Notamacropus eugenii: one gene and its partners. The protein of the gene in region 3 interacts with the protein of the main gene of each other region in a biochemical or structural test. Links are inferred from orthologs where the notes say so. Each region holds a gene or a part of one and is shown on either strand. Other genes may lie near its edges. The genes, in order: CAND1, SMURF1, UBE2M and NAE1.

Region 1 (7,047 bases), on a different chromosome or scaffold from region 3:
ACTGAAAGTCTACACTGCCATTGTGCTGAGCTCATTGTTGTATGCCTGTGAAACTTGGACAGTCTATCAACGCCATGCCTGAAAATGGAATTGCTTCCATTTGAACTGTCTTAGGAAGACTCTGAAGATTGGCAAGATTGGACACTGAGGCCCAAGCATTCAAATTCTACTTCACGGAGCAATTCTGATGGGCTAGCCATGTTGTTCAGATGCCAAATGTCCTGTTTGCCTAAACGACTATTTTACAGAGAACTCACAGAAGGCAAGCGCTAACGTGGAGGTCAGAAGAAGCCATACAAGGACAGTCTCAAAATCTTTCTGAAGAACTTTGGAATCAATTTTGGGACAAAGGAGACACTGGCACAGACTGTCCAGCATGGTGTGCCAGAATCAAAGAAGATGCTATGCTCTGTGCCCAAAGCAGAATTGCAGTAGCTCAAAAGAAACGTGGTGAGATGCAAAACTTTAAAGATATCTCCACTTCCAATGTTCATATGAACTATTTGTGCCTGACCTCTAGTAGAGCCTTTTGAACTTGTATTGGTCTGATCAACCATAGCTGGGCACACTGTATCTTCACTTGAACATAGTGAAGTTATTTTGGTCCTCTGTGAAGTATGAAGAAAAATAATCAATGATTATTAGATCACATTATGACGTGGAGGTGACCCTGATGTTTTGAAGGCTACGTCAATGGAGAGCAAACTGTGGCAAGCTGGAAAGCCTTCACTTACTGGCCTGGTGACAGATTTCATTTCTGTTGCCTAACAATCAGTTTCCCTAAATTTGAAGAGGTTCAATACCAGATACTTCATAGGAAGATTAGTTTTTTGTCCAAGGGGACTCTTAAAAGCTATATAAGCTTGTGAACTTTGCCAGTAATGGGATGATCTACACTATTAAAACCACAAATGCTTGAAATCTTAAAGTTAGTACTGTAAATTGAGTTTGACTAGATGAATTATCCAGTCTTTTCAAACTCTAAAGTGATATGACTCCACTGTTGTATATTCTGTCTGTTCCCAAGAACATTTTAGCCTCCTGGGAAGATTAATTCATAGATTGATAACAACACAAAGATACTGTCAATTACATGTGCTATGGCAAATAATACTGAAGCAGTTCAGCGGAGAGTGCACTGTGACCTTGAGTGGTCTAGTTGATGGAATATCTCAGAGGAGAAGGCATTGAGCTAAACCTGTAAGGAAGGGTAGGATTTAGGTAACTGAAAAGGAAAGAGAACTTGGTATGGTGGATAGGATTCTGTACTTGGAGGCAGGAAGTTTTGTGTTCAAATTCTGCCTCCTGTACTTATTAGCTGTGTGATCACAGACAAGTCTCTTATCCTCTTAGTCTGTTTCCTCATTTGTCAAAGGAGAGGCTTGAATGGTCTTTAAGGTCCTTTCTGACTTTAAACTTGTGAAACTAGTAGGTTTCACAAAAAAAATTACATAAAAAGGCCCAGAGGAGAAAATACTGTTTTGTCATGTTAGCCAATCTGATAGGTGTGATGTGATGTTTTAATTTGCATTTCTCTAATCAATAGTCATTTAGAGCATTTTTTCATATGACTATAAATGGCTTTAATTTCATCTGAAAACTGTCTGTTCATATCTTTTGACCATTTATTAATTGGGGAATGACTTGTACTCTTATAAATTTGACTTAGTTCTCTATCTATTTTAGAAATGAGGCCTTTATCAGAGACACAGGCTATAAAAACTGTTTCCCAGCTTTGTGCTTCCCTTCTAATTTTGATTGCATTGACTTTTTGCAAAAACTTTTCAATTTAATGTAATCAAAATTATCTGTTTTGTACTTCATAATGTTCTCTATCTCTTGTTTGGTCATAAATTCTTCCATTCTCCATAGATCTGAGAAGGCAAACTATTCCTTGCTCTCCTAATTTGCTTGTAGTCTCACCCAAATATTTTATGTTGTCTACAGTTACTTGAAATGGAATTTCTCTTTCTATCTCTTGCTGATGGCTTTGTTAATGATATATAGAAATGCTGATAATTTATGTGGGTTTATTTTATCTGGCAACTTTGCTAAAGTTAATTATTTCAAGTGGTTTTGATACTTTAGGATTCTCTAAGTATACCATCATATCACCTGCAGAGTGATAGCTTTGTTTCTTCATTGCCAATTCTAATTCAGAGGAGAAAACACTTAAGGCAAATTCATAGGCTTAGTCTAGCTGAGACAGTGAACTTAAGTAACAGCAAAAAGATGAAAAAAGAACTCCTTAGCCTGGCATTTAAGGCTCCACATCTTGTAGTTCCAGGCTAAATATAGTTTTAATCCTTAAACGACAGTTCTGAATAGGTATAATATAATAAAACTTTTCAGAAGATTAATCTGGCAGTAGGCTACAGGATGGGTTGGAAAAGGGAGAGACTGAAAGTGAAGAGTTCAGTTTGTAGGCTGTGGTCTGAATGTGAAGTAAATAGGGGCTGAACGAGAGTGATGGTAGAGAAGGAAAATACAAAAATGAGTGTATATCCTTTACCATCACTCCCTTGAGAACAGGAATTTCAAGAATTCTAGAATTTAGAGCTGGAAGGGACCTAAAGATTATCTGGTCCAGCTTTCATGGGATGGAAACCGAGGTCCAGGGAAAGTAAACGACTTTTCCAAGATCATACAGGCAGAACTTTTTTAAACCTAAGCCCTCTGACTTAGAATATAGCCCTTTTCCCACAGTTATCACTCAAAAGCCATCTTCCCTTCCCCAGCACCAAGCATAATACCTCTCGCATACATCTTCAAAAATGTTTACTAAACTGAAATCTAAATTCACCTGTATTAGTCATTAACTTGCAGCAAAATTTCCAAGAGAAATGATCCTCCAAAAGTTGCAAAATAGATTAGAGATCTTAAATGGATAGAAATCTAGCATTTAGTAAATTACTGGTTTATTTTATGAAAAGAAGGGGCCGGAGAAACGAAAGAGCGCTAAAAATGCAGACGTTTCATTGAGCTCGTTTTCCCGGGGCAATCTTTTCTATCCCAGCTTCCTAATACTTTGGCACAAGTAGGGTTATTAAGCCTTTAGTTTAAAAGGGGGGGAGGGGGAGAGAGGCTTGTTTGGGGAGCAGGGAATTAACAAAAGAAAGTGGCATGTTCCCTGTTTACAAAGGACGTGCCTACGTGCCCATCAAACAGAGGGCAGGAAGAAGTTTGTTCCCCCGTGGCAGCACACATCACCCTGGGGAGAGATGTAAGCTCCTTGAGGGCAGGAACCACTGGTCTTTGTAAGCTGACACATGATAAGGCGCTTCGGAGGTGCAAGTTGGTTTGGGTCGGATAATGCAGGTGCAGTCCTTTCTAAGACAGAAAAAGCACGGCCGCCCTGCTGGGCACGTGTACAGGGGCCTGGGGAGACCCTGGCAGAATCAATTTTCGTGCACGGCCAAAAGCGATTCGTCAGAACTTCGCCAGTTTCAGGACCCAGAGATCCCCGCGCCTGCGGCCCGCTTTGGCCAACCCACCAATCCTGGGATTCGTTCCTCTCTCCGAGAAGGAAAGGGAGATTGGAGGAGGGAAAAATAGAAGCTGACAGCGGCAGCAGCCAATCAGGTCGTGTCTGTGGATGACGTCTAAAGGGCATGACGGGATTCGTAGTCTTTGCGCGGCTGCACTTTAAGATGCCGCAGGCCACGCGTCCCACGCGAAAGCCCACTCTTTCCTTGGGCTGGATTCCTTCATTAACACAGCCCGGGGCCTTTATCTTTTTCTTCGCGTTTAAAATCCCGCACTGCTACTCCCCATTACGCGCATGACGCTCCAACCCATCCTTTACCGTTTCCTAGCTCATCCCTGTCTAACCTGCAGCCCCGCGCCCTTTAACCGTCGCTTGGAAGTCTCGAGAGAACACCTCTCTCTCCGTCCCAGTCACGCCTTACGCACGGCCGTCCCCGCGCAGACTGACACGCCCCTGGGCCAATTGGATAGCCACCCATCCGGGCCGCGGCGGGGGCGCGCTCGTCGCAGCGTCCGTAACCCTTGACCCCGGGTTTCCGTACTCTTTTGGTACTTAAGTACGCAGCGGGAGCCGCGGTCGCCGTCGCCCCCCGAGTGCAGGAGGCGGGATTTGGCCGCTTGCCTCTGGGAGGAAGGGAGCGAGCGAGAGGCCCGAGCAGGACCGTCTGGCTCCCGGGAGAGGCCCTCGCCGGACTTCCCGCCCCCCCCACCCCCTCCCCGTCGCCCATGAGACCGGCCCCTCGCGAGCAGCGCTGTCGTTAGGCGGGCCGCGCCGCTTTCTCTGCTGCTCCCGGGCCAGGCCCGCGCTCCGCGGGAGGGGGCAGCCCTTGCAGGCGCCTCCCTCGTCACCGCCGCCGCAGCGCCGGGAGCGGGCCGGGCCGCGAGCCCCGGAGCTAGAGGAGGAGGAGGAGCCGCCCGGACCGTAGCCGTCAACATGGCGAGCGCCTCGTACCACATCTCCAATCTGCTGGAGAAGATGACATCCAGCGACAAGGACTTCAGGTGAGGCCGCGAGATCCGCGCGGGGCCCCACCCCTGCAGCGCCGCCGCCGCCCTCCCCGCTCCGGGCCTGGCCTTGCCCCTTCCCCGCCGCGAGGCCCCCGCCGGGGCGCGCCCCGAAGCCGCGATCGATAGCCGGGCCGGGGCGAGGGGGGTGGGGCGGGGGAAGGTCGGGCCGGTGCCGGAGGCCCTGGGCCGCCCCGGGCCCCCCTCGGGAAGGGAGCAAGGAACGAGGCCGGGCGCGGGGAACGGTTGGATTCCTTGGAGGGTTGGGGGCGCTGGAAACTTGCCCGGGAGGAAGCATGTTGGGGGGTGGGGGAGTTTCCCGCCTGCGTCCTTGCCCCCTCCTCTGGGTAGATTAGATATTTTTATGGGGGGGGTTGGGGGCTTTCGATCCACGCTTTCTCCGTGTCTCGGCCCGGCGCCCCTCCTGAGTCTGAGCCCCGGGGGGCCGGGGGAGGGGGGCTCGGAGAGCTGGAAGCCGCAGGAAGCCTTGGAGCTCGATCCCATTTCCCCGGGGCCTGTTTGCATGTGATCTCCTCCCCGGCCCCACGAGAGCGCAGGGATCGCGCTTTAAATTTTAAAAGAGAAAGCTTTGCTGCTTGTATCCCTACCTCCAGGTCTGCGCTAACACTCCCGTTCAAGGAAAGGCCGCAGACTGCCTCGTCTACACCTTAGAACGCTGCTGGCAGGCTTGACACCTGGCTGGACTTTGTGGCAGTCTTATGCCTGGTAGTAGATCGGGTACGAAATTCAGTCTGGGCGCATGTAGTCCTGGAGGGCGCTCCATGTGCCACAGGGAAAAACGTATTTTTAAAATCTCTTTGGGACTTAAGTTTTATGGTACGAAGCCTGTGGGGATGAAACTTGTGTGTCTAAACAGTCCGCCTTTACTTAATGTGATGAGTGAAGAAACTCGTGTCCTTTGTGCGTTATTTCTTCTCCCGCCACCCCCTTTAAAGTGTACCAGTCCTGCCGGACGCAGAAGCAGCGTTTTTATTTCGTGAAACAAGGAGGTCTTGAGAAAAAAAAATTCCTAATTCTAATTTAATTAAGCTGTTATAGTTATGATCTTTAGTAACCCAGTAGATTGAAACTTTAGTTCTGGGACTTTTTGACCAGATGGATTGTAAGTAATTTTGCGCTGCCAGGAACTTTCTGCCGTATAGGCAAGATTCAACATTTGGCTAATCTTGAGGACCATTCACTCATGGATTGATTATGATTTTCTGAAAACCTTATTTACTTGGTCATAATTCTAAGTACAAAAAAATTGTTATTCTTTTAAAACCAGAAAATTACTCATATTCTTTGAACTTTTTCTTGGTTTCCAACTTGTCACTGAAGTTTAATCGTTTTAATTTGGAAACTTTTCGATATTGAGCAAGTGCATGGTGCGATTTTTAAATTTACTATCTATCTCAGCTTGCTCATTAAAATACTCACTTCTGGTGGTATTGAGTTTCAGATTTTAATACTTGTGGTGATGGTGGGGAGATCTACCTCTAATCTTGAAGCATATGGTAAAACACTGGAACAATTTTAAGTATATTTTATAGGTATCATTCTAAATGAAACATAAAACAAGTAATTTGCAGATTTTTTTTACATATTTTCTTTCTCTTTAAAAAGAAATCATTAAGCAGTGAAGACTGTCATAGAGGAAAGTAAACATTTGTTGTTGTATTCCTTAGCTTCTTACCACCTACTAGATGCTTAGTAACCATTTTATTGAAGTTCCAGGATCTTGAAGTCAATTGGGAAAAACCTATTTTGGGGGAATACTTTAATAAGTAATATCTGCTTGCTGTCTGAAATTTCCCAGAACATTGTTTGAGGGATTAGTTATTTAAAATAAGATTACTGAGCATGACTGGCATATGGAAAAGACTGGATGAATTTCCAAATATGCCTGAATCCCCAAATATTCTGATAATTTGGCTTAATTTAAGATTTTTTTTCTTCTGTTTGATATATTTTCATCTGATTTTCTAGTTATCTAAAATATTTTAAATGGAATATGTAATGTCTCTATTTTTATTATTAATGAGAGTATGGGACTGAAGAGAACAGCCCATCCAATCTCACTCCCTCAATTTACCAATAATGAAACTGAGGCCCCAGGGAGGTTAAGTGATTTGCCCAGGGTCACACAGGGATAAACAGCAGCAGAATTTGAACCCAGGTTCAGAACTCTGAGTCAGGTTCTGACTCTAGAGTCCATGCTCTTTCCATCATTCCATGAAATGAGTTTATTGAATTTGATGTTCCTTTTCAGCTTAAAAATTCTGTGAATTTTCATTCTAAATTCAAGTTAGACTGTAGACATCAAGAGTGTATTGGTGCCAGCTCTAACTGGTATAATCTGATTCTTAAATTTTCCTTGTGAGCATTTATACCTCAGAAATTGGCAAGCTAAAAATAAATATCAAGGCTTTAGTTTATTGGAGTTTATTCTGTTTGTTTTTTGATTGTCTAGACTTTTAAAAGTGATGGAGAAAATGTTAGCAGTGTAGATTAATTAGACTTAAAAATGTGGTCTGTAGTTTTAGAGCTGGTTAT
Region 2 (7,411 bases), on a different chromosome or scaffold from region 3:
AAAAAAGTCAAAAACAATCCCTGACTACAAGGAGATAATTTAACTGGGAAAGGTATTTGCAAAATGCTTTGAAACACACAATTATTCAAGTATTTTGTATCAAATATATTCAATGAACTACTGAAACCTCTATAAACTATTTCAAACTAACATAATTATGGCAGCATTTATTTCAATCTTTATCTAAAAATGAAGGATTAAGATATCCACTAATATTCAGGACACATTTATAAATTATGCCTTGAAGGCAAATTCATCATACAATGGATTTATACAATCAATTTCAAAAATACAAGACTGAGAAATTTCACTATCATGGCAAAAATGGTTAGAAATTGTCACTAGACTTAATTATGTTTATCATAAGTCAAATTTGAGATATCTTACTTTAAGTCAAAGTTTTCTGCATGTCCCAAAAGTTATCGTGTAGTTTTCTCTCTTAAAGCTTAGCTAGAGAGCATGGAATTTAATAACCAAAAACGCATATACACTAGTAATTTAGAATAGGTAACAATGTGACTATTAGGGCCAGAAAACTACCTTGAATATCAGTCTAATTTAGGTATTCCTAATGTATGCTTCATAAACGTCTTTAAAAAATACTGATGACTATTTCAATATAATTGCTTCCTTTGTAATACTATGCAGTTTTAAAAAACATTCTTCTGAAAAGGGATCTCATAGTTTTCAACAGACTCCTAAAGGGTAAATCAGAAAAAGTTAAGCACCACCAGTCTAGTCCAATGTCCTTATTGTGCAGAAGAAGAAAATGAAGCCCAAAGAAGTCACAAAGGTGGTCTAGGCCTGGGGCTAGAATTAACATCTCCTTCACTTCTGGTTCAAAACACTTTCCATTTACCATAAAATTCTGCAGTCAAAAGTCCTAAATATCTTTTCAAACACTAATGTCTTCATAGTCTGTATTTAATTATGCTGCATGTTATTTACTAACAAAAACCTCTCTAAAATCTATATTTTCAAATGTCACTGCAGTAACTAAGCAATCTTCTTTATCAAAAACATTTAATGTATCAAGATGCACAATAAATCAGAAGTGAAAAAATTTCAAACTTCTTAACTTTAAGAATAGACTAAAACCAATTTTATTTTCACACTCTTTAGTTGCAACTTTTTCACACGGGTTAATGTTCAACAGACAACTGCCATCATGTCTGTTACACAACTCTTACTAAGCTCTCAATTCCCGTTTCAAGAACAATTACATTCATAGATTGACTCAAATCCATTAGGTATTCAGCAATTTAGGCAGGGAGTGAGGAGGGGGAAAGCACTTTGGAAAGAATACTGATCATTTAATCCTTTAATATCAAATGCCATCCATAAGCTCTTAAAAGTATTTCTGCAGCTATCACATTTAAACTCCTGAACAGACCAGTATATGGGGGTGAAAGGGTGGGGTGAACAGAAAGACAAATCCTGTTCTCTCTTATACTTTGGGGGTGGGAAAGAGAAGTACAAATCAAAGATCATCAGCCACAATTCATAAAAACGCTCAACAAATGCAAAAAAGTAAAACGTTTATTTCAGAAACAAAAACTCTAACCCAACTACATTTCTAACAAAACACACACATGCACTTAACAGTAAAAGAGTAACTGATCTGATGGCTATAATAGATTGCGTTGTAACTGGGAAGCAAATTAAAGTTGTCTTGTAATTAAACTTTACAAGTATTATAACGTCAAAAACATGACATTTTACGCACCCATAAAAACAACTCAACTTAAAAATATGAAGAAGTGCTTTACCTCCTAGCCTGAGTGCAGCATAATGGCTCCTCCAAGAACAAAGATCCAGGAGGATACACCTGTTGCCTTACAAAACCCCAGTCTGGGCCTGAATCATTAATAATTCATTATTCTGTCAGCTTTGTAAACAGAACTCACAAGTCCTTTTATTTAAACAGGAAACAGATCCTACAACAGGCAACAGTGGGTTTTCAAAGAGAACATATGGTTTTAAAAAAAATCACCTACAGATGTTTTTTACAAATACTTTTAAATGCCCTAACCACGCTAGGCGTTCGTCTCGATCCTCCCTCTTTTGGGGGGGGGGGGGGGGTTAAATCACACTCCTTTGACAGGAACTGGACAAATACAGACTGGAGGGCTTTTCTTTCGTGTGCCACAGACCAGAAGAAAGACCAAGAGGGGGAAACTCCTGCCAGGATCGGACAGAACTTCTGGCTTGGAAAGTCCCCCGGCAGAAATCTGTTTGCGGAGTAACGATCCCGCGTTAAGAACCCCAGGCCTGCGGCGTGCCGAGAGGGGAGCGCGGGGGTGGGGGAGGAGGGATGCCGGGGCCGGACACTGGACGCAGGATGTCTGGAGCCCGCCGGGGAGACACGGCCGCCAGCGGCAGACACCGTCCGCACCACACACCGCCCCCCTCCACCCCGACGCCGGCACCACCCCGCCCCCTCCCCGCAACAGCGCATGCGCACCCCAGGGCTTCCCCATTCACCCCTATGGGGATCACTACGGAGCTGACGGGGGAAACAGGGAAATTTCATTGAAGAAACGCGAGTGAATCGAGGAGCCAGGACTTGTGCAGCTGCCAGCACCGAGGCGGGGGAGGGGAGGGGAGCCACGGCGCGGGCCGCCCGGGGATGCCGGGGACCCCACGCAGCGCACGACCCGCCGAGGCCCGGGGGTGCGGGTCCGGCGGGGCCGCCCCCCCCCGCCCCTCCGGGGGCCCCCTCCCCTCCGGGCCCCCCCAACCCCGGCTCCCCCGCTCCCCCGCGCGCCCGTACCTGTCAGCCGGATCTTGATGCTGGAGCCGTTTCTCCGAGTCCCGGGGTTCGACATCTCCTGCCCGCGACCGGGGAGGTGGGGGGGAAGAATCCGCCACAGCCCGTCCGAGTCCGCCCCCCGCCTCGGCCCCGGCCCCTGCCTTCCTCTTCCTCCTCAAGGCTGAGGCTGGGCCGCCGAGCCCCGGGTCCGAGCCTCCCGGCCACCAACTCCAAGCAGCGGGGCAGGGTGGGTGGGGGGAAAGGGGGCGGGCCCCGCGATCAAGCCCGGAGCGGAGCAGATTTCCCACCACCCCCCACCCGCCCTCCCAACCAACCCCAGGTCGAGAGCCACCGCCTCCTCCTCCGCCTCCGCCTCCTCGGAGCTCGAGACCAGCCGCCGAGCGAGCGAGCACCGCCCTCGCCGCCGCCGCCGCCGCCGCCGCCGCCGCCGCCGCCGCCGCCGCCGCCGCCGCCGCCGCCGCCGCCGCCGCCTCCCGGAGCCGCGCGCGCTCCCGCCGCCGCCGCCGCCGCCGCCGCCGCCGCGCCTCCCCTCCTCTCCTTCCTCCTCGCGACGCGCGCGCCCCCGCCGGCGACCTTCCTCTCCCTCCCCCCGGCGCGCTCCCGCGGCCTTTTTTTTTTAAACCCCCGCCCAGCCCGTGCGTGCGAGCGTGCTTGCGCCGAACGTGAGGCGGAGACGCAAAGGACGCCGCTGACGTCGCTCCCCGAGGTGGAGGCGGGGAGGCGTCCTGTTCGGCGCCATGTTGCGGGTCTCCTCGCACCCTGCCAGCGGGAGAGGGGCTTCCTCCATGTTTATGGTCGCACGTGCCGAGCCTTAGCGACTGCACCCGAGAACGTGGGGAGAGGCCCCGCCGGGGGCCGGGGGCCGCGGGCTGGTAGCGGGGTCGGGGAGAGTGCCAAGGGGAAGCTGCGGGGACCGGCCCACGGCACTCGCTTCCGTAGGTGGGCGTGGAGCCTCGAAGTCCCGAGTTCAAATGCAGTAGTTGTGCGACCCTGAACGAGTCAGTCTTGAATTCAGCCCCACCCGCCGCGGGGCTCCTCCGAGGAGAGCCTGCGTGCCTGTGTGGTGAGAATGGTGTGCAGGCCTCAGAGCGCTGGATAAACACCCCCCCCCCCCCCCGCGGGCCCCCTCTGTTCAAGCTGCCCTTCGGCGTCCGCTCCTCACCATAGGGGGGCGGGCTGCTTTCTCCCCCGCCCCTGCTCCTTCTCTGTCCCAGACCGTCCAGACCCCCTTCCAGCCACCTAGCTGCTCACGTGGCTTCCTGAAGGCCGTCTCCAGTCCCATTGATCTGATGGGAAGTTAGTAGGGCTCTTTACTCCGGAGTCTTGCACCCCTACCGGACCGCACCCTCCTGGAGGCCACGGGCTGTGTTTTGTATTTCATCCCAATCTTTCCTCTCCCCGGTGCCCAGCTAAGCTATTGTGCGTTAGCTTGTACTCAGGTAACGAGAAGGATCTTTCTTTGGCATTGGAGAACCCCAGATAGACGGGAAGTTGCCATATCTAGGATGCTTTAACAATAAACGAAACCAGCCATAGGCAGGTAAATAAATCACTGTGGCGCCCCTACTGTGTGTTCAGCTCTGGGATTCAGGCGATGATGAAGAATTATGCATTCAGCAAATATTCTGTGGACTCTTAGAATAGTCAACGTTTTATGCTGAATAACAGGCCCAGCCCTGACAGGCCATTCTGGAGGGACAGGGAATTTCCCAAAGTTTAAACTTCCTTTGGAAACAAGACACATAGAGAAAACAAAGCCAATCACTGCACTCATATCAGGGGTAAAATTCTTAATAGAATCCTATTTGTTGAATGGTCATGTACTTGAAAACATTTTTATTGATATTTTTATATTATCTGCATTCCTGCTATAACTCTCCACCCTCCTCCTGGAGAGTTATACTTTATAACAAAGAATTTTTTTTTAAGAAAAAAAGCATTTCAACAAAACTAACCGACATACCAGGTTCAAGGTGTACAGGTGTCCACACTCATGGTTTCCACTTCTGTTTTCAAAGGGGGGGGAGGGAGTAGCCTGGTACTTTCTCTGCTTTGCCGCTTGATTTCTCTTTGCTTCCGTACTCTGACTCAGATCGTCCAGATCCCATCCCAGCCACTTGGCTGCTCACGCAGCCTTGGTGAAAGTCACCAATCCTATTTCTTATGGTGAGATGGAGGATCACTGGGTATGCTTCCAAGACCTCTAGTGCTGTCCTCTGACCTACAGATGTAGCCTAAGGACCTCTGAGCTTTGCCATTCCACTGCCTGATGCACCCTTAGGAATGAACTTTCTTTTATGTGTAATATCCCCCAAGTAGAGTGTGAGCTCCCAGAGAGCAGAGACCTTACTGATTTTTCTCTTTGTACACCCAGTGCTTGGTGTACAGCAAGTAATAAATAAATACTTTTTCATTCATTCACTGAGGCCAAGTTTCGGCATTGTAGTGTCACAGCTTTTTGTTTCAATTATTTTTATTCTTTCCCTTTAAGTTATAATCATCGTATATTCTTGTCTGCTTCCTTTACTCTTCATCAGTTTGTTTTCTCCATGTATTCTTCATGTTTTTTTTCAAGTTTTCAAATAAATTTCAATTGATAACTTTATCACCAACATTTCTCAATACATGGCTCCCTTCTCCTTTTCCCAGAGAGCCATCCCTTATAATAAGAATAATATGAGAGGGATGGCAATTAATTCAACAAAACTAACCAACATCTTGGAAAAAATCTGACACTATATAATGTTCCATAGGCATAGTCCCCTACCTATGCAAAGAATAACAGGAGGTATATTCTTATATCCCTTTGGGCATTCAGTTCTGCTGCTTTTGTTCTCTCCATTTTGAATTATTGTAGTCATATGTTTCCCTGGTTCTGCTCCAGTTTTTCATCAGTTCATGTCTTCCCATGCTTCTCTCGTGTTTATTGCTTTTTACAGCAAAGTAATATTCGGTTACATTCATGTACCACAGTTTAGTTAGCTTTTCCTAAATGCATGAGCATCTGCTTTGTTTCCATTTCTTTGCTACTATAAAAAGTGAAGCTAATATCTAAGAATGCTGTATCTACAACATTCCCCTGATCTACCAGTCTAGTAACCCTATCAAAAAAGGAAATGAGGTTATTCTGGCATGACCTGTTCTTGATGAAACTATGTCAACTATTTGTGAAAGGGACTTCTTAAAGATTCTCATCTTGTTCCAGGTACTCTGGAGTTCATAGTAATGGCCATTTTTTTAAAATGTCATTTTTATAGTGCTGTAAGTTTTGCAAAGTGTAGTAGATTATCTCATTTGAGCCTCACAGCAATCTTGTAAGATAGATGCTACAGGAGCCATATCACATTACATACTATCTTGAGGAGGGAAGGGGAGAAAATTTTAAACTTACGGAAGTGAATGTTGAAAACTAAAAATAAATTAATTTAAAAAAAAAAAAAGATACTACAGGAATTATCCCCACTTTACAGATGAGGAAACAGACTCAGGTTAAGTGGCTTAGGTTCGCAAAGCTGAATAACAGAAATAGGAGTCAAACCCAAGTCTTCGGGATTCTAAGTCTAACACACTATTCATTAAGCCACAATGCCACTCAGACTTATGGGACCTAAATGGATCTAAATCAAACTTCTTCCTCATTTTACAGTAAAGACAGTGGTATCCTTAGAGGTTAGATTACTTATTCATCATTACGTAGCTAATAAGTAGTAGAACAAGTGCTCAGTCTCACTGATTATTCTTAACTATTGAACCACAAAGGAATCAAATGTCTGGAATTTCATTCTGAAATCCCAGGAAATACTGAGAGAGGTCAAATTTTGGAAAGGGTAAATATAATGTGTTTATAGGTTAAAATATATCTTCTGCCTTAGAAACATTTTCACCAAGAAGAAATAGTTGTGACCATCCTATTCATTTGTTCCCATTTCTAATATTCCCTTCCACCATAGCAGGTTTTCATATGAATTCCCATGAAAAATATGGAAATAGTAATAGGAAGAGCTGGATGTACAACATAGCATACTCCATACCATCTTTACCACTTTTGAGGGCTTGATGGACTGCTACCTTGAAGCCAAAACCTCTGGACTATAACCCTCTGCCTTGTGTCAAGTCACCTCTGACAATGAACTCACATCTCTTCCTGTACTTTTCTCTGGTCTTTCCTAACACTACTCTTTCATTATTCTTCTAACCATAGCTCTCTCCCTTCCTGATCCATCGTTCATTTCATGTCCCCTGTTCCTCATGGCTCTGTTCTAGGGTCCATTTCTCTCCTTTGATGAATTTATTCTCTGTGGCTTTAATCATAAACTGTATGAATAAATAAATGAATGAAGATACATTAATTAAGCACTTAATATGTGCAAAGCACTGTGATGAGGGCTATGGATTCAAATAGAAAAGCAAGGCAGTCCCTACTCGAGTTCACCTTCTAATGTATGAGAAATACCTATTGGAGGTTTCAACTACAACTCAGATGGAAGGGTCCTATGGTCCTTATGTGAAGCAGATGATAATATATATTCTTTCATGCCATTTCTACTGGTGATCCTATCCATTTCTGATGTTGACAATGCCAAGGACTTTGGTGTTGAGGATTTTATTTTGTAGGTCTCTGGTAGCTCTGGATACTGA
Region 3 (7,257 bases):
GGGGCTCCCCAGAACGCCGGGGTCCCGGAGGAGGGGCCTAGAGGGGGCGCTGCGTTCCGAGATCGGGGGAACCAGAAGGCGGGGTCCCCCGAGGAGGCTGTCGGAGGGGGGCTGAGGCCCGGACGCCGGCGTCCTCTGGGGGCGGGGGGGCGCGCCTTCACTCACCGGCCCCGAGCTGGAGGCACAACCGCCGCCTCCGGGAAGCCCCCCGGGTCGCGCTGGACTCCGGGGCCACCCACCCGCGCCGCCGCCGCCGCTGCCCGGGGTCTGCTCGCCGCCTGCTTTCTCCCACAACCCGCCGCTGCTTCCGGATACCGGCGCCGTGACGTCACTGGCACGCGCCCCGCCCGGGGCCGAGAGCCGTAGTGCGCAGGCGCGCGGGGTCGGACGGCCCGCAGAGCGCGCCGGCGTGCAGGCCGGCGCTCCAGCCCCGCCCCCCCTTCCCCGGGGCCGCAGGTTCGGGTCCAACCCCGCACGGACAGACGGGACGCACGCACGGACAGAAGGCCAGGAGGCAAAGGCACTGCATCAACATTCCCCTTTAATAACCTGACACGAACTCGAGTGGGAGTGGGGGCGGGGTCCGGGGACAATCCAATTCATTTCCCTTCTCTGATCCGGACGACGGGGGCGGGGTAGGGCGGCGCCCATCAATCACGTGGTTAAAAAAACTAAACCCAAAAAAGAACTGGGGGCGGCGCGCGGCCGGAGGCCCCCTCCCCATCCCCACTCCCGCGCGAGGCCCCGGCCCCCAATAAATACGTGGCCCGGGGGCCGCGGACGCCCCGCCCCCCGCCCCGACCGGGGGAGGGGGCCCGGAGGAGGGGGAGGGCCGGCTCGGGGGGCGGGGCTGTCCGTCCGTCCGCCCGCCCCCCGCCTATTTGAGGCAGCGCTCAAAGTACGTGGAGCCGATGTAGCCGCCGCGCATGGAGCGCTGCACGTTCTGCTCGAAAAGGCGCCGGTTGTTCTGGAGGACCTCGGCCGCCTCCTTGTTCAGGGGATCCTCGGGGTTGGGCTCCTGCGGGCCGGGATCCGGTCAGGCCCGGGGCCCCCTACCCCCCCCACCCATCGCCCCACGGCCTCCACCCCCGCACTCATTCCCCTCGGCCCCCCCCACGCACTCACCAGGAAGAGATACTGCAGCCCGTAGATGATGGAGTTTATCGTTAGCACTGGTTTCCAGTCCTCTCTGTGGAAGGAGAAGCGCCCCCCAGCCCAAAGGGCTCGGCCTCAGCAGGGCAGCCCCACCTCCTCCTGGCCCACGGGCAGTGCTCCTCATCCCATCCTGCCCACCCTCCCCCCAGGGTCCTAAATCGGAAAAGAAGGTTCAAGCCACATCTGTGTGCCCTTCCCTGGTCTCCAGCTTGGTCACTTCTCCACAATGGCTCTCTGCTGAGCCCTGTCCGGCCATCTCCTCCTCAAGGCTACTGCCAAAGTGCTGACCCCCAGCAGCACCAGGCTGACCGTAACCCTCTGGTCCTCTGTCTTGGCCACTGTACCCTCACAAGTTCCCCTCAAGGGCCAGCAGGCCAGAAATGACCTTGTTCTCACCGGGGAAGTTGGGGTGGCCACTTACCTGAGGATGTTAAGGCAGACATTGCCCTCAAGGTCGATGTTGGGGTGATAAACCATGGTCTCACACTTCACCTTGGGTGGATCGTGGGGGTAACCCTGGCCAACCTGGGGACAGAGAGGCAGTCAGAGGCCCTCGGCCCCTCCCCCAGGGCAGTTTCTGCCCCTCCCCTTCAAAAGACTTACCTTAAAACTAAACACAAACTTGCCAGCCTTGTAGAAGCCCTGGAAAAAGAAGGGAAAGGAAAGGAGGGGAGGCTGATTGGGGCTGCCTGCTCCAGGTACCTCCCGGCACACAGTCCCCAGGCCCCTGGGAACGGCTTGGAGAAGGACAGAAGTCGGGAGAGGCCCATGGCGGCAACATGACCGACGCGGGGGGAGGGGGCCCTCACCTCATCCGGGCAGATGACCAGCTTGAAGTTGAGGAGGTCGTCCTGATCAGAAAAGTCGATCTCGCAGGTCTTAGGCAAGTTGAGCTCATTAATGTCTGGAGGAGAGTGGAGGGCAAGTTATCTGGGGACCATCATCTACACCCTGAGGTCAGGGGCTGGTCCAGGTAGGATCGGGTCCGGGGTGGGGTGGGGACGAGGCCGCAGATGGCCCCGGTTGGGGGGGGGGGGGGGGGCAGCCCCTGGTCCCAGGTGGGGGGTGGGGGCAGTTGATGATACCAGGTGGGGGTGGGGGCAGCCTTGGGTCCCAGGTGGGGGGTGGGGGCAGCCCTTGGTCGCAGGTGGGGGTGGGGGCGGGGCGGCCCTCTCCCCCCTCTCCCCCCTCCGCCCGGGGCACCTTTCTGGATGCGGAGCTGCGCGGCGGAGGCCTTCTTGCTGCTGCCCTTGGTGCCGCCCGCCGACTCCTCCTCCTTCTTCTGCTGCTTCAGCGAGAACAGCTTGATCATCCTGCCGCCGCCGCCGCCTCCTCGGGGCCCTGGCCGGCCGGCCGCCCCTGCCCACTGTCCGCCGCCTGCCCGCCCCAGCCCCCGCCTCCGGCCCCTGCCCGGCTCCTCCGCGTTCCGGCCCCGGCTGCTCAGCTCAGCGCCGCGCTGCGCGGCCCGTCTCGGCTCCCGTAGCTCGCTCGGTCCGCTTCGGAAGTGTTCGACTCCCTCCGGAAGGGCTCGGCTCCGCTCGGGTGCCTTCGGAAGTGGGCTTCGGCTTCGCCCCGCCCCCCGCCCGGCGGCCGCTCTCGGTCCCGCCCCCTCCTCTCCTCCTCCTCTGTCCCAGATCGGGTTCCCGGCTGCCCTTTCTCTGTCTCTCTGTGTCCCTCTTTCTCTCTCGCTTACAGGCTACGAACCGGCTTCGGCCTGGGCCAGGCCCTCAGCCTGGGCGGTCGCGAAGGGCCTCGACAACGGTCTCGGGGCGCCCCGACGCTTCGGTGATTTCCGCCGCCGCCTCCCCCGCTTCGGCTCTGGCCGCTGTCGGCCCCGCGGCGCGCATGCGCAGACGCGGCGCGCAGTCCGGGGCCGCGCTCGGCCATTTCCGGGCGGGGGCTTCTGGCGCTTCCGGAGGAGATTGACCTGCGGGCTGCCGACCGAGCTGGCTGGGGGAGGGGTGCGAAGGAAGGCTCTTGGAGGGCGGAGGTGGGGGGGGCCACGGGAGGAGGAAAGAGAGTTACTAGTCTCCAGGGAGCTCTTAGTGCACACATCGACCGCGACAGCGCTGGCAGCTGTCAGTTTAGGCCAGCCCCGCCTACGTGCCCGCCCATTGGAGAAGGCTCGGAGGGCGTGCCAATAGTCGTCGGGCTCTAGGCCCGGGGGCGGGGCTGTGGCGCTAGCCTTATACGAATATCCCGGAAATGCGGAGTAGGCGGGGATGACCGAATCTGAGCTGCAGCTTCCGGGCTTTCGGTCTCCATGACAACCGCAGGCCGGGAGGAGGGGCAGCGAGGCGCCGCGGGAGCGCGGGAGTCCCGGCGTCACCAGGGAGACCGCATCGCCTCAGAAGCGGTTGGTCCCGGGGCCGAGACTGAAGGCGAGAAGGACGCGAGCCGGGAGCAGGCGGAGGCGGGCCCTCATCCCCATGGTAACTCCGCTTCTCCTGCGCCTAAGAACCGAATCGCTGAGCATTGTGGGAAAGGGCAAGGAGTCTGCGCGCCGCCTGCTGGGGAGCGTAGTCCAGCGGGGGCTGGGGGCACGTGATGGGGAGGGGATGGGGCCCTGCAGGGTTTGTACTGGAGAGAGGGGAAGAGCTGCTTTCGGCCGACCCCCTCAGTAGTTCTCGAGCGTCTCTTCTCGTTTGGGGGGGGGGCTGTCTCACCCAGGAGAACTGAGACCTCATTGGCCAGCTTCGGTGGGGGAGGGGGCGGACAAAACCCCTGTCCTTTTTTGCCTGCGTACCCCAGTGCACTCAGGTTGGCACACTGTAGGTGCCTAATAAGTGCTCATTGACTGCCACGCGACCGTGAGGGGCGCACCTGAGCCTGAGTTCAGATCCAGCCTCAGACACTTGCTAGCTGGGTCACCAGTCTGCCTCAGTTTCCTCACGTGTCATTTGAGCTGGAGGGTCAGCACTGAAGGGGCGCCTGGCCTGGAGGAGGGCCCCCACCCTCTGTCCGCCCTCTCCCCTAGGTGCCAGTGGCCGGCCCGAGGGAGCCTTGAAGGACGCGCCAATGGCGCACCCCCACCCGCGGGGGCAGCTGCGCTACCCCAAGCCGTTACGGCTCCTGTGCCAGGCCGTGCCCCCCATCCTCGGCTCTTCCCGCTGCAGACCCAGCCTCTCCCTCTGCAAAGGGCCCCCTCCCTTGCTCATTTCGGGGGCTCCTTTTCCCCTTGCCCCCAGCGCCCTGCAGTGCAGGGTGCTGCTTCTGCCTCCAGCCTCCCAGGGACCCCGGCTCATCCATCTCCAGAAGGGCCCTGGCCCCCCTCCGCAGGGGCGCCTCGGCGCTGTCTCCACTGCACCCCAAGCCCCTCTCCTGAAGAGCCCCATGCCCTCTCAATGCCGGGTGCTCGGCTGTCCCCGGCCCCAGAGCTGCTCCCCGATGGGGGCACCTCCTCCCTGTACTCCGAGTCCCTCCCGCTCCCCCCAGACCAGATCTCATCCCCTGAAAGGGAGACCCCCCCTCTCCAGGGCCAGCCCCTCTCCTTGCAGGACGGTGTCCTCTTCTATCTGCCTAAAAGTCCAGCCTCTGAAGGGGAAGCCCATCCCCTTCAGTCCCAGCCCCTCCAAAGGCAGAGCCTCATCTTCCCTGAGACCCAGATACCACCCAGTCAAGAAAGCCCCCCACACCTCCAGTCCCAGACCTTCAGGTTCCCTGCAGCCCAGTTCCCCGCCTCTGAAGGCATGCTCTGCCTCCTCCCACTGCGGGAAAGCCCAGGCTCCTCCACTGCTGGGGGCCCCTTCGACCATTGACCCTAGTCTGTCCTGCCGGGGCTTGCTCCATTCTCTGAGGCTCAGCCCCTCCAGACACAGGGGACTGGCCTTCCCAGTGAACATGGTCCTGGCCTCTCCAGAGCTCCTGTTCTCCCCCCGGGCCCAGGATTTCAGAGAAAGAGAGCTGGGGTTCACTATCCTGCCCAGACTCTCCTCCCCAGAAATCCCTCCCAACTCCCCTACTTCTGGCTTCAGTCCCACCCCAACCCCCTGCTCCCTTTATCCTGGCCTGGGTTCCCCTGAGTCACAGGATGGCCACAGTTCCAGAGTGATCCAGTCTGTGCCCCTGTCTGCGGTGAGCACGGACCTTGCAGAGCCCCAGGCCTTTTCAGGGGGGCATGATGGTCAAGGACGGGACTTGGATACGGTCATCCTGCAGCCACAACAGGAAGGACAGCATCTCTTGGGGTGAGGCCCTGGGGATCCCCACCTCTTCAGCACCCCAGGGTTTTGGGGGAGAACGGGAGGAGAACCGCAGCGACCCCCTGCTCTCATGTGCCTAGGCCTGCTGTCCAGGTTTGGCCCTGGCCTCGTGGCGGCAGCCACCAGCTGGGCTCCACCTCCGGCTTTGGCTGTCTCTTCTGGCCGTGTTCCAGTGGTGCTTCCCATGTGAGCTCCGCAGGGGCTCTGCCCGTCCAGAAGCATCTCCAGCTGTGCTCTCCTGCCCCCCGTCCCCAACACCTGCAGTCTCCCTGAGAGCAAGTCCACCCAGGGGAGAGAGCTTTGGCTCCCCTGAAGTATCAGTAAAGTGGGGGTGTGGAAAATGAGGACTCACTTCTGGGGGATGCCAAGGCTGGCAAGACACCACCCGATGGTGAGGCCCCTGGTCTGAAGCGGGGATGGAGGGTATTTGGGCCACGGGAGGGAAACACGAGCCTCTGCTCCCAGTGAGGTGAGGTCACTGTGGCAGCCGAGGGCCAGCTAGACTGGAGGGACAGCCCTGGCCAGGGAGAGACTGGAGACAAAGGGGAGGGGCGATCTGTCGGAGGAGATGGGACAGCAGGCAGAGGGGGGGCCAAAGAGTGAGCTCACGGTTTTAGGCCTCAGCGTCTCATAGGGTCTCAGCAGAGGGGAGCCATGAGAGTATCTGGAGGGCCTCTCACTGATAGAATCGAATCGAATTCAGCCAGCCCTTTGAAGCATCTTTCCTGCCCTGAGGGATGGAGAGGCCTATCTACTGGGCTGTGGGGGTGAGATTGGGCAGGGCCTCCTCTCCATCCCTGGGCTCTGGGCTGCTACAGGACACCCCAGGGGAGATGGGGGGAAATGTGCATCTGTAGTCAGGGTGGTCAGCAGACACAGACAAGAGGATTGGGGAATGCACTGAGAGACCTGTGGAGGTTACCTGGTTCAGGCTGTTCAGGTGACACAGGAATAAACTGAGGAAGCCCTGAGCTAGGAATGGGCTTACCCCAGACTCCTCGGGTCTCCTGCCCAACTTCCAGTAGCACTGGGCTTCCTGCAGGCCCCAGGCAGCGCCTGCTGGGGCAGGTGCAGTGAGGACAGTTGGTGCCAACCTTGGCCCACAGTCCCCTCCCACCTGAGGAGAGGTCCCTGCCTGGGGGGTGGGGGCGGTATTAACCCTCCAACAATGGACTCTCACCTGGAAGACGCATTGGATTCATAGACCATTGGATGGGATGCTGCGTGCTGGAGATGTGTATAGCTGTGTTACCATGAGCAAGTCACTTGTCTCAACCTCAGTTTATTTGTCTATAAAGTGGAGTTAATAACATCACCTTCCTCTCAAATGAGATACAGCACGTGTAAGTGCTTAGTAGCCTTCCTTAGCAGCACCATGTAAATGTGCACTGTTGTCCCAAAGGACAAGGCCCTCATTTTACAGATAAGGAAACAGGCATTCCAGAGCAGGGCTGCACAGCAAGTGAGTTGATAGGATTTAGACACTTGAGAAGTCACCAGGTTGGACTGCTCCCCTCAAAAGGTAGACACACAATGAAAAACTTCGCAGCCTGGTGTGATGGGTCGCAACTGGCATCTCTGAGTTGCAGGAGGGAACAAAGCTGATACAACATCCCTGCTAAATCTCTTCCTGTGCCCATCAGCCTGGGTGGGAGAGGGAGACCCAGGCCCAGAAAGAAGGCTGGAGCCTTAAGATGTCACCCCCAGACTTAGGCCAGCGGCCCCCACAGAGACATGCAGAAGACCCCCAGCTCTCTGCTTCATTCTCCCTATTTCTAAGGCAGAGCCCTCTGGGTGTCCCACCATCAGTGTGGTGAGGCAAACATGAGAGAAAGATGAGGGCTGCTTGTAACAGCTCCGAGCCTTGAGCCATAGATGGTGGTGCCTGGCACATTGGGTT
Region 4 (6,828 bases), on a different chromosome or scaffold from region 3:
ACATTTTATGCTCCAACATTCAAGGCTCCTGGGCCTCTCCCCCTGCTCTGGCTCTCAAGGCTCCCAGGCCTCTCTCCCTGCTCTGACTCTCAAGGCTCCCAGGCCTCTCTCCCTGCTCTGACTCTCAAGGCTCCCGGGCCTCCCCCTGCTCTGACACTCAAGGCTCTGGCTCTCAAGGCTCCCAGGCCTCTCTCCCTGCTCTGACTCTCAAGGCTCCCGGGCCTCCCCCTGCTCTGACACTCAAGGCTCTGGCTCTCAAGGCTCCCAGGTCTTTCTCCCTGCTCTGACACTCAAGGCTCCCGGGCCTCCCCCTGCTCTGACACTCAAGGCTCCCGGGCCTCCCCCTGCTCTGACACTCAAGGCTCCCGGGCCTCCCCCTGCTCTGACACTCAAGGCTCCCGGGCCTCCCCCTGCTCTGGCTCTCAAGGTTCCCGGGCCTCCCCCTGCTCTGGCTCTCAAGGCTCCCGGGCCTCCCCCTGCTCTGACACTCAAGGCTCCCGGGCCTCTCCCCCTGCTCTGACACTCAAGGCTCCCGGGCCTCCCCCTGCTCTGACACTCAAGGCTCCCGGGCCTCTCCCCCTGCTCTGGCTCTCAAGGCTCCCGGGCCTCTCCCCCTGCTCTGATACTCAAGGCTCCCGGGCCTCTCCCCCTGCTCTGGCTCTCAAGGCTCCCGGGCCTCCCCCTGCTCTGACACTCAAGGCTCCCGGGCCTCTTCCCCTGCTCTGACACTCAAGACTCCCGGGCCTCTCCCCCTGCTCTGACACTCAAGGCTCCGGGGCCTCTCCCCCTGCTCTGGCACTCACGGCTCCCGGGCCTCCCCCTGCTCTGGCTCTCAAGGCTCCCGGGCCTCTCCCCCTGCTCTGACACTCAAGGCTCCCGGGCCTCCCCCTGCTCTGACACTCAAGGCTCCTGGGCCTCTCCCCCTGCTCTGGCTCTCAAGGCTCCCGGGCCTCTCCCCCTGCTCTGACACTCAAGGCTCCCGGGCCTCTCCCCCTGCTCTGATACTCAAGGCTCCCGGGCCTCTCCCCCTGCTCTGGCTCTCAAGGCTCCCGGGCCTCTCCCCCTGCTCTGACACTCAAGGCTCCCGGGCCTCCCCCTGCTCTGACACTCAAGGCTCCTGGGCCTCTCCCCCTGCTCTGACACTCAAGGCTCCCGGGCCTCCCCCTGCTCTGGCTCTCAAGGCTCTGACACTCAAAGCTCCAGGGCCTCCCCCTGCTCTGACACTCAAGGCTCCCGGGCCTCTCCCCCTGCTCTGACACTCAAGGCTCCCGGGCCTCTCCCCCTGCTCTGATACTCAAGGCTCCCGGGCCTCTCCCCCTGCTCTGGCTCTCAAGGCTCCCGGGCCTCCCCCTGCTCTGACACTCAAGGCTCCCGGGCCTCTCCCCCTGCTCTGACACTCAAGGCTCCCGGGCCTCTCCCCCTGCTCTGGCTCTCAAGGCTCCCGGGCCTCTCCCCCTGCTCTGACACTCAAGGCTCCCGGGCCTCCCCCTGCTCTGACACTCAAGGCTCCTGGGCCTCTCCCCCTGCTCTGACACTCAAGGCTCCCGGGCCTCCCCCTGCTCTGACACTCAAGGCTCCCGGGCCTCTCCCCCTGCTCTGACACTCAAGGCTCCCGGGCCTCTCCCCCTGCTCTGGCTCTCAAGGCTCCCGGGCCTCTCCCCCTGCTCTGACACTCAAGGCTCCCGGGCCTCCCCCTGCTCTGACACTCAAGGCTCCTGGGCCTCTCCCCCTGCTCTGACACTCAAGGCTCCCGGGCCTCCCCCTGCTCTGGCTCTCAAGGCTCTGACACTCAAAGCTCCAGGGCCTCCCCCTGCTCTGACACTCAAGGCTCCCGGGCCTCTCCCCCTGCTCTGGCTCTCAAGGCTCTGACACTCAAGGCTCCCGGGCCTCTCCCCCTGCTCTGGCACTCAAGGCTCCCGGGCCTCCCCCTGCTCTGGCTCTCAAGGCTCTGACACTCAAGGCTCCCGGGCCTCCCCCTGCTCTGACACTCAAGGCTCCCGGGCCTCCCCCTGCTCTGGCTCTCAAGGCTCTGACACTCAAGGCTCCCGGGCCTCCCCCTGCTCTGACACTCAAGGCTCCCGGGCCTCTCCCCCTGCTCTGGCACTCAAGGCTCCCGGGCCTCCCCCTGCTCTGGCTCTCAAGGCTCCCGGGCCTCCCCCTGCTCTGACACTCAAGGCTCCCGGGCCTCTCCCCCTGCTCTGACACTCAAGGCTCCCGGGCCTCCCCCTGCTCTGGCTCTCAAGGCTCCCGGGCCTCCCCCTGCTCTGGCTCTCAAGGCTCTGACACTCAAGGCTCCCGGGCCTCCCCCTGCTCTGACACTCAAGGCTCCCGGGCCTCTCCCCCTGCTCTGACACTCAAGGCTCCCGGGCCTCTCCCCCTGCTCTGACACTCAAGGCTCCCGGGCCTCCCCCTGCTCTGACACTCAAGGCTCCCGGGCCTCTCCCTGCTCTGACACTCAAGGCTCCCGGGCCTCCCCCTGCTCTGGCTCTCAAGGCTCCCGGGCCTCTCCCTGCTCTGACACTCAAGGCTCCCGGGCCTCCCCCTGCTCTGGCTCTCAAGGCTCCCGGGCCTCCCCTTGCTCTGACACTCAAGGCTTCCAGACCAGGGCCTCTCTTTCCAATCCAGGACCCTGAGGGGGCGGGCCCAGCCTGGCTCCTCCCAGGGGCTCGGGAGCCTCGAGGACAGCTGAGCCCGACGCGGGCGGGGGATAGGCCTTGGCGCCGGCTCCCTCTCGCCAGGCTGCTCCCTCGGGCCGCCCCGAGCCCGGCGTTCTCCTGGGCTGCCCGGCCCGGGTCAGGACTCGGCGGAGGTCGCTGCTGCCTCCTCACCCCCGTCTCACCTCAGCTGCCGGTCGTACTTCTGCTCCTTAGGCAGCTTTCCCGCCTCTGGCTGCGCCATGGTTCCGCTGGGCCCCGGCCTCACGTCCGCCGCACTCCCGCCCCGAAAGAGGGTCAGGCACCACAGCCCGGGTCCACCAGGCTGCCCCGCCCCCGCCGCGCAGGCGCACTACGCCCGGGCCAAGTTTTCCCCAGCCTTCGCGCAGCCGTCCAGTGTGCCCTTGCGTCCCCGCGCAGCCGCACTTTTCACGCTTCCTTTTCACCCTGCAGCTTCCTGAAGCCGCCAGCAGGGAACGCTAAAGGGCCGCGCACGCGCGAGGATTTCCGATGGGTAGGCGGGTCTCTGATCCTCCTAGCAGACCGGTGGCTTCAATTTCATTTCTCCTCCCAAACTCTCGGGTGTTCCTAGTCAGGACAGCCCTAGCAGCCTGAACCAGTGCGCCTGGCCCGGGCGAAGTCTTGTTCCAGATAAGTTGTAACAGTGATGCGCAGAGAAGGCAGGTGTGGTTCCCGCCCCAAGCCCGGAGCATCTTCACCTGGCGTCACCTCCTGCTCCTGAAGGCGAATTGGACCTCCTGGGTCAGAGCTGCAGAGGCCTCGAGGACCGCGTCATCCCACCCCTCATTTTATAGAGGAAAAAAGCGAGGCCCAGAAAACTCCCAAGAGCAAAGCATCGAAACCTGGAGGAAGAGACTTGAGAGCTCATCCGACCCCTCACTGGACGGAGGAGAAATTGGGGCCGCGGAAGAGAAGTAACCTGCCTAGGGAAGGACATTTACTCGTTTACACAAGTGGCAAGCCGGCATCAAGCCTGGATTCCTTAAGAGTATTTAATTTTTTTCCAATGACAAGTAAAGATAGTTTTCAACATGCATTTTTGTAAAATGTTGAGTTCTGAATTTTTCTCCTCACCTCCGCAAGACAGCAAGAAATCTGATATAGGTTATACGTGTACAGTCATGTTAAAGACATTCCCACATTAGTCATGTTGTGAAAGAAGAATCAGAACAAAAGGGGAAAAATACAAGATTGAAAAAACAAAAAACATGTGAAAATAGTATCCTTCAGTCTGCATTCAGATTCCATAGTTCTTTCTGTGGATGTGATGAGCATTTTTCACCAGGAGTCTTTTGGAATTATCTTGGGCCATTGTATTGCCGAGATGAGCTAAGTCTGCATCATGTGGCGGTTCTCCTGGGTCTGCTCACTTCACTCAGCATCAGTTCATAGAAGTCTTTCCAGGTTTTTCTGAAATCTGCCTGCTCATCATTTCTTATAGCACAATAATATTCCATCACAGTCATATAACAACTTGCAACAAGCATTTATTAAACACCTACTATGTGCCAGGCACCGTGCTAAGTGCTAAGGATACAAAGAAAGCAAAAACAGACCTTGCCCTCTCTACTATCCCTTGGCTGGGTCCTGTAGGTACGTCTTTGCTCCTTGGGACCTCAAATCTAGACAGCTGGATGCGAATTCCAATCTGCTGGTGGCTTGTCCTCTTAAACTTTTAAAGTTTACAGAGAAGTAGCTAACACTTTCCTTCCCTTAAAATAAAAGGACAAATACCAAAGCAAAGAACCAAGACCTATATTCACTGGCTACATATTGGCTTCAAATCAGAAAGACCCATTGCTATTCCCCGTATACAGTATTGCCCCTCTTATTGTAACACCATCAGCAGAGGCAACCAAAGAGAAAGAACAAGGCGAAGGGAATAAATATTTATTAAGCACTTGGTATTTATCAGGTACTGTTTTAAGTGTAATACAATTATCTCATTTGATCCTCACAACAACCTTCCTGAGGTTAAGTGCTGTTATTATTCCTGTTTTATAGTTGAGGAAAAGGAAGCTAAGTGATTTGGCCAAGATCACACAGCTAGTAAATATCTGAGGTTAGATTTGAACTCAGGTCTTCCTGATTCCAGACTGAGCATTCCAGTCCATCCTTCATTTAGCCCCCAAATTGATCTCCCCTAAAGTATAAGCATGATGATGTCCCACCTCCTCCTCATCCCCGTCATTCAGTGAACATCAATGGTTCTCTATTGTCTACAGCACCAAATAGAAAACTCTCAGTTTGACTTTTAAACCCTTCCCAACCTGATCCCTTTTTACTTCTCCAGTCTTATGTTTTACTCCTTTCCACACACTCTGTAATTCGGTAACTCTGGTTTTTTTGCTGTTCTTCACACAAGATGCTTCATCTCCTGAATCTGTACCTTTTCAATGGCTCTACACCCCTTGTACTCCCATCCCTAGAACTTTCTCCCTGCTCTACTCCACCTCCTGGCTTCTCTGGCCTCCTTCAAGTCTCATGTAAATCCCATCTTCTACAGCCCATCCCCATCCCCATCCTCCTGAATGGTAGTGCCCTCCCTTTGTTGATGTATGGGGTGTGCAGGGAGGACTAGCACCTCTGGTATCAGGCCTGCTCATCCACCTGGCATCCAACTGTCACCTGTGACTCCAAGAAGCTATAGCCATGCCACATCCCAATGGCCACATCCCAGTAAACCATCTCAGCAGAGGGGTTAAAGCAGGTTGAGGGTAACCAATAGGTCTTAAACCTGTCAGTGAGTTAGGGGAATATCTACCACAAGCATGAGAAGACTTCCCCATTGGAATGGATGGAAGAGAACAATTTGTTCCAACCACCAAGAAGGCAGCTGAAGCAGGTGCTGTGGAGAGCTTAGAGTTTGGTCACTGAAGATGCCGAGGTACATCCCTGGCCATTGACGGTCCTCTTGTCTTTTGTCCTGCCACTGGACCTGGAAGAGAGAGTGAGACTGAATAACTTTGTGCAACTCTGCCTCACTTAAATCTAACTGACTTGCAAGTCAAGATGTCATCAGTGATGTCACTGATCCTCCTCAAAAACAACAACAAACAACATAGTTGTTTGAATGTTGTCTTCCCCATTAGACTGTGGACTTTTTGAAGGTATGGTCTGGTTTTGCTTTTTTTTTGTATCTTTAGCATTTAGTATATAACATTGTTCTGTTGTATGTGAATTTGGGGAGAACAGTGCTATGTAGAAACTGCTAATTCTACTCTCTCTCCCTAAAGATTGAGGAGGTATAGAGGAGATTGCATTCCAAAGTTTTGAGGGGATGCTTTTTTTTGCTATATCTTCAGAGTCAATAGTCCATCATAACAGCTAATTGATGGTAATTGTTTAATGAAACTGGAGCTATAATCACCAGCAGCTAAAGCTGAGGGTAGGGGAAAACACAGTGGAAGGGGGGCTTCTCCAGCAAATGCCCAATCTCCTTGCAAAGGGGTGGGGGAAAGTGACAATGAAAAGCAACATTAGTGAAAGTAATCACTCAATAAACATTTGTTAAGCACCTACTATGTGCCAGTCATTGTACTAAATTATATTGACTTGGATATAAAGGCTTAGGAAGGAAAGTGATGAGAAATTTTGAGCAGTATCACACATAAAACAGCAAAAAGCCATGGAGGTAACATCAAGTTTACTTAAAGCTTGACAAGAAATGAAACTAAGTAAAGTAACTCTAGAACTGTCCCCCATACTGTGAATGCTTTCTCTCTTCTACTGCTACTACTGACCTCAGTGGCTTCCTTTAAGTTCCAACTAAAGCTCACTTCTACAAGAAACCGTCCCCACTCCCTCTTCATTCCAGTGCTTTCCCTCTTAATTCTTTCCTATAGGTAGGCTGTTTGTACATGTTTGTTTGTTATCTCTCCCATTAGATGGTCAGCAGGTCCCTGAGGGTAAGGACTCCTTTGCCTCTTTTTGCATCCTCAGGACTTAGCACAGTACCTGGCACATAGTAGTTACTTAATAAATGTTTACTGATTATTTGCAGCAAATTTCTCTGATAAAGGCCTCATTTCTCAAATACATAGGGAACTGAGCCAAATTTATAAAAATAAGAATCATTTACCAATTGATAAATGGTCAAAGGATATGAACACGTGGTTTTTCAGAAGAAATCAAAGCTATCAATAGTTTTATG

Evidence for each region.
Region 1: the proteins of UBE2M (region 3) and CAND1 form a complex in vitro, tested with the Homo sapiens proteins (2 studies listed by BioGRID). The link is inferred for Notamacropus eugenii from reciprocal best matches to the Homo sapiens genes UBE2M and CAND1.
Region 2: the proteins of UBE2M (region 3) and SMURF1 form a complex in vitro, tested with the Homo sapiens proteins (2 studies listed by BioGRID). The link is inferred for Notamacropus eugenii from reciprocal best matches to the Homo sapiens genes UBE2M and SMURF1.
Region 4: of the proteins of UBE2M (region 3) and NAE1, one has a biochemical effect on the other in vitro, tested with the Homo sapiens proteins (4 studies listed by BioGRID, with this or other methods). The link is inferred for Notamacropus eugenii from reciprocal best matches to the Homo sapiens genes UBE2M and NAE1.

The regions. Positions count from the first base shown.
Region 1 is NC_092874.1:244,372,165-244,379,211, forward strand, and holds the start of CAND1 (cullin-associated NEDD8-dissociated protein 1), read left to right. Parts: upstream 1-4,026; 5' UTR 4,027-4,420; coding exon 4,421-4,488; intron 4,489-5,153; exon of another isoform or gene 5,154-5,229; intron 5,230-7,047. UniProt on the Homo sapiens protein: Key assembly factor of SCF (SKP1-CUL1-F-box protein) E3 ubiquitin ligase complexes that promotes the exchange of the substrate-recognition F-box subunit in SCF complexes, thereby playing a key role in the cellular repertoire of SCF complexes.
Region 2 is NC_092874.1:380,144,689-380,152,099, reverse strand, and holds the start of SMURF1 (E3 ubiquitin-protein ligase SMURF1), read right to left. Parts: upstream 3,018-7,411; 5' UTR 2,829-3,017; coding exon 2,774-2,828; intron 1-2,773. UniProt on the Homo sapiens protein: E3 ubiquitin-protein ligase that acts as a negative regulator of BMP signaling pathway. Mediates ubiquitination and degradation of SMAD1 and SMAD5, 2 receptor-regulated SMADs specific for the BMP pathway.
Region 3 is NC_092876.1:990,845-998,101, forward strand, and holds UBE2M (NEDD8-conjugating enzyme Ubc12), read right to left. Parts: upstream 2,736-7,257; 5' UTR 2,468-2,735; coding exon 2,359-2,467; intron 2,060-2,358; coding exon 1,965-2,059; intron 1,798-1,964; coding exon 1,759-1,797; intron 1,681-1,758; coding exon 1,577-1,680; intron 1,190-1,576; coding exon 1,126-1,189; intron 1,019-1,125; coding exon 878-1,018; 3' UTR 522-877; downstream 1-521. Other genes in the region: uncharacterized protein, read left to right, coding at 3,419-3,587, 4,133-5,342, 5,438-5,630.
Region 4 is NC_092872.1:693,761,742-693,768,569, forward strand, and holds the start of NAE1 (NEDD8-activating enzyme E1 regulatory subunit), read right to left. Parts: upstream 3,020-6,828; 5' UTR 2,899-3,019; coding exon 2,840-2,898; intron 1-2,839. UniProt on the Homo sapiens protein: Regulatory subunit of the dimeric UBA3-NAE1 E1 enzyme. E1 activates NEDD8 by first adenylating its C-terminal glycine residue with ATP, thereafter linking this residue to the side chain of the catalytic cysteine, yielding a NEDD8-UBA3 thioester and free AMP.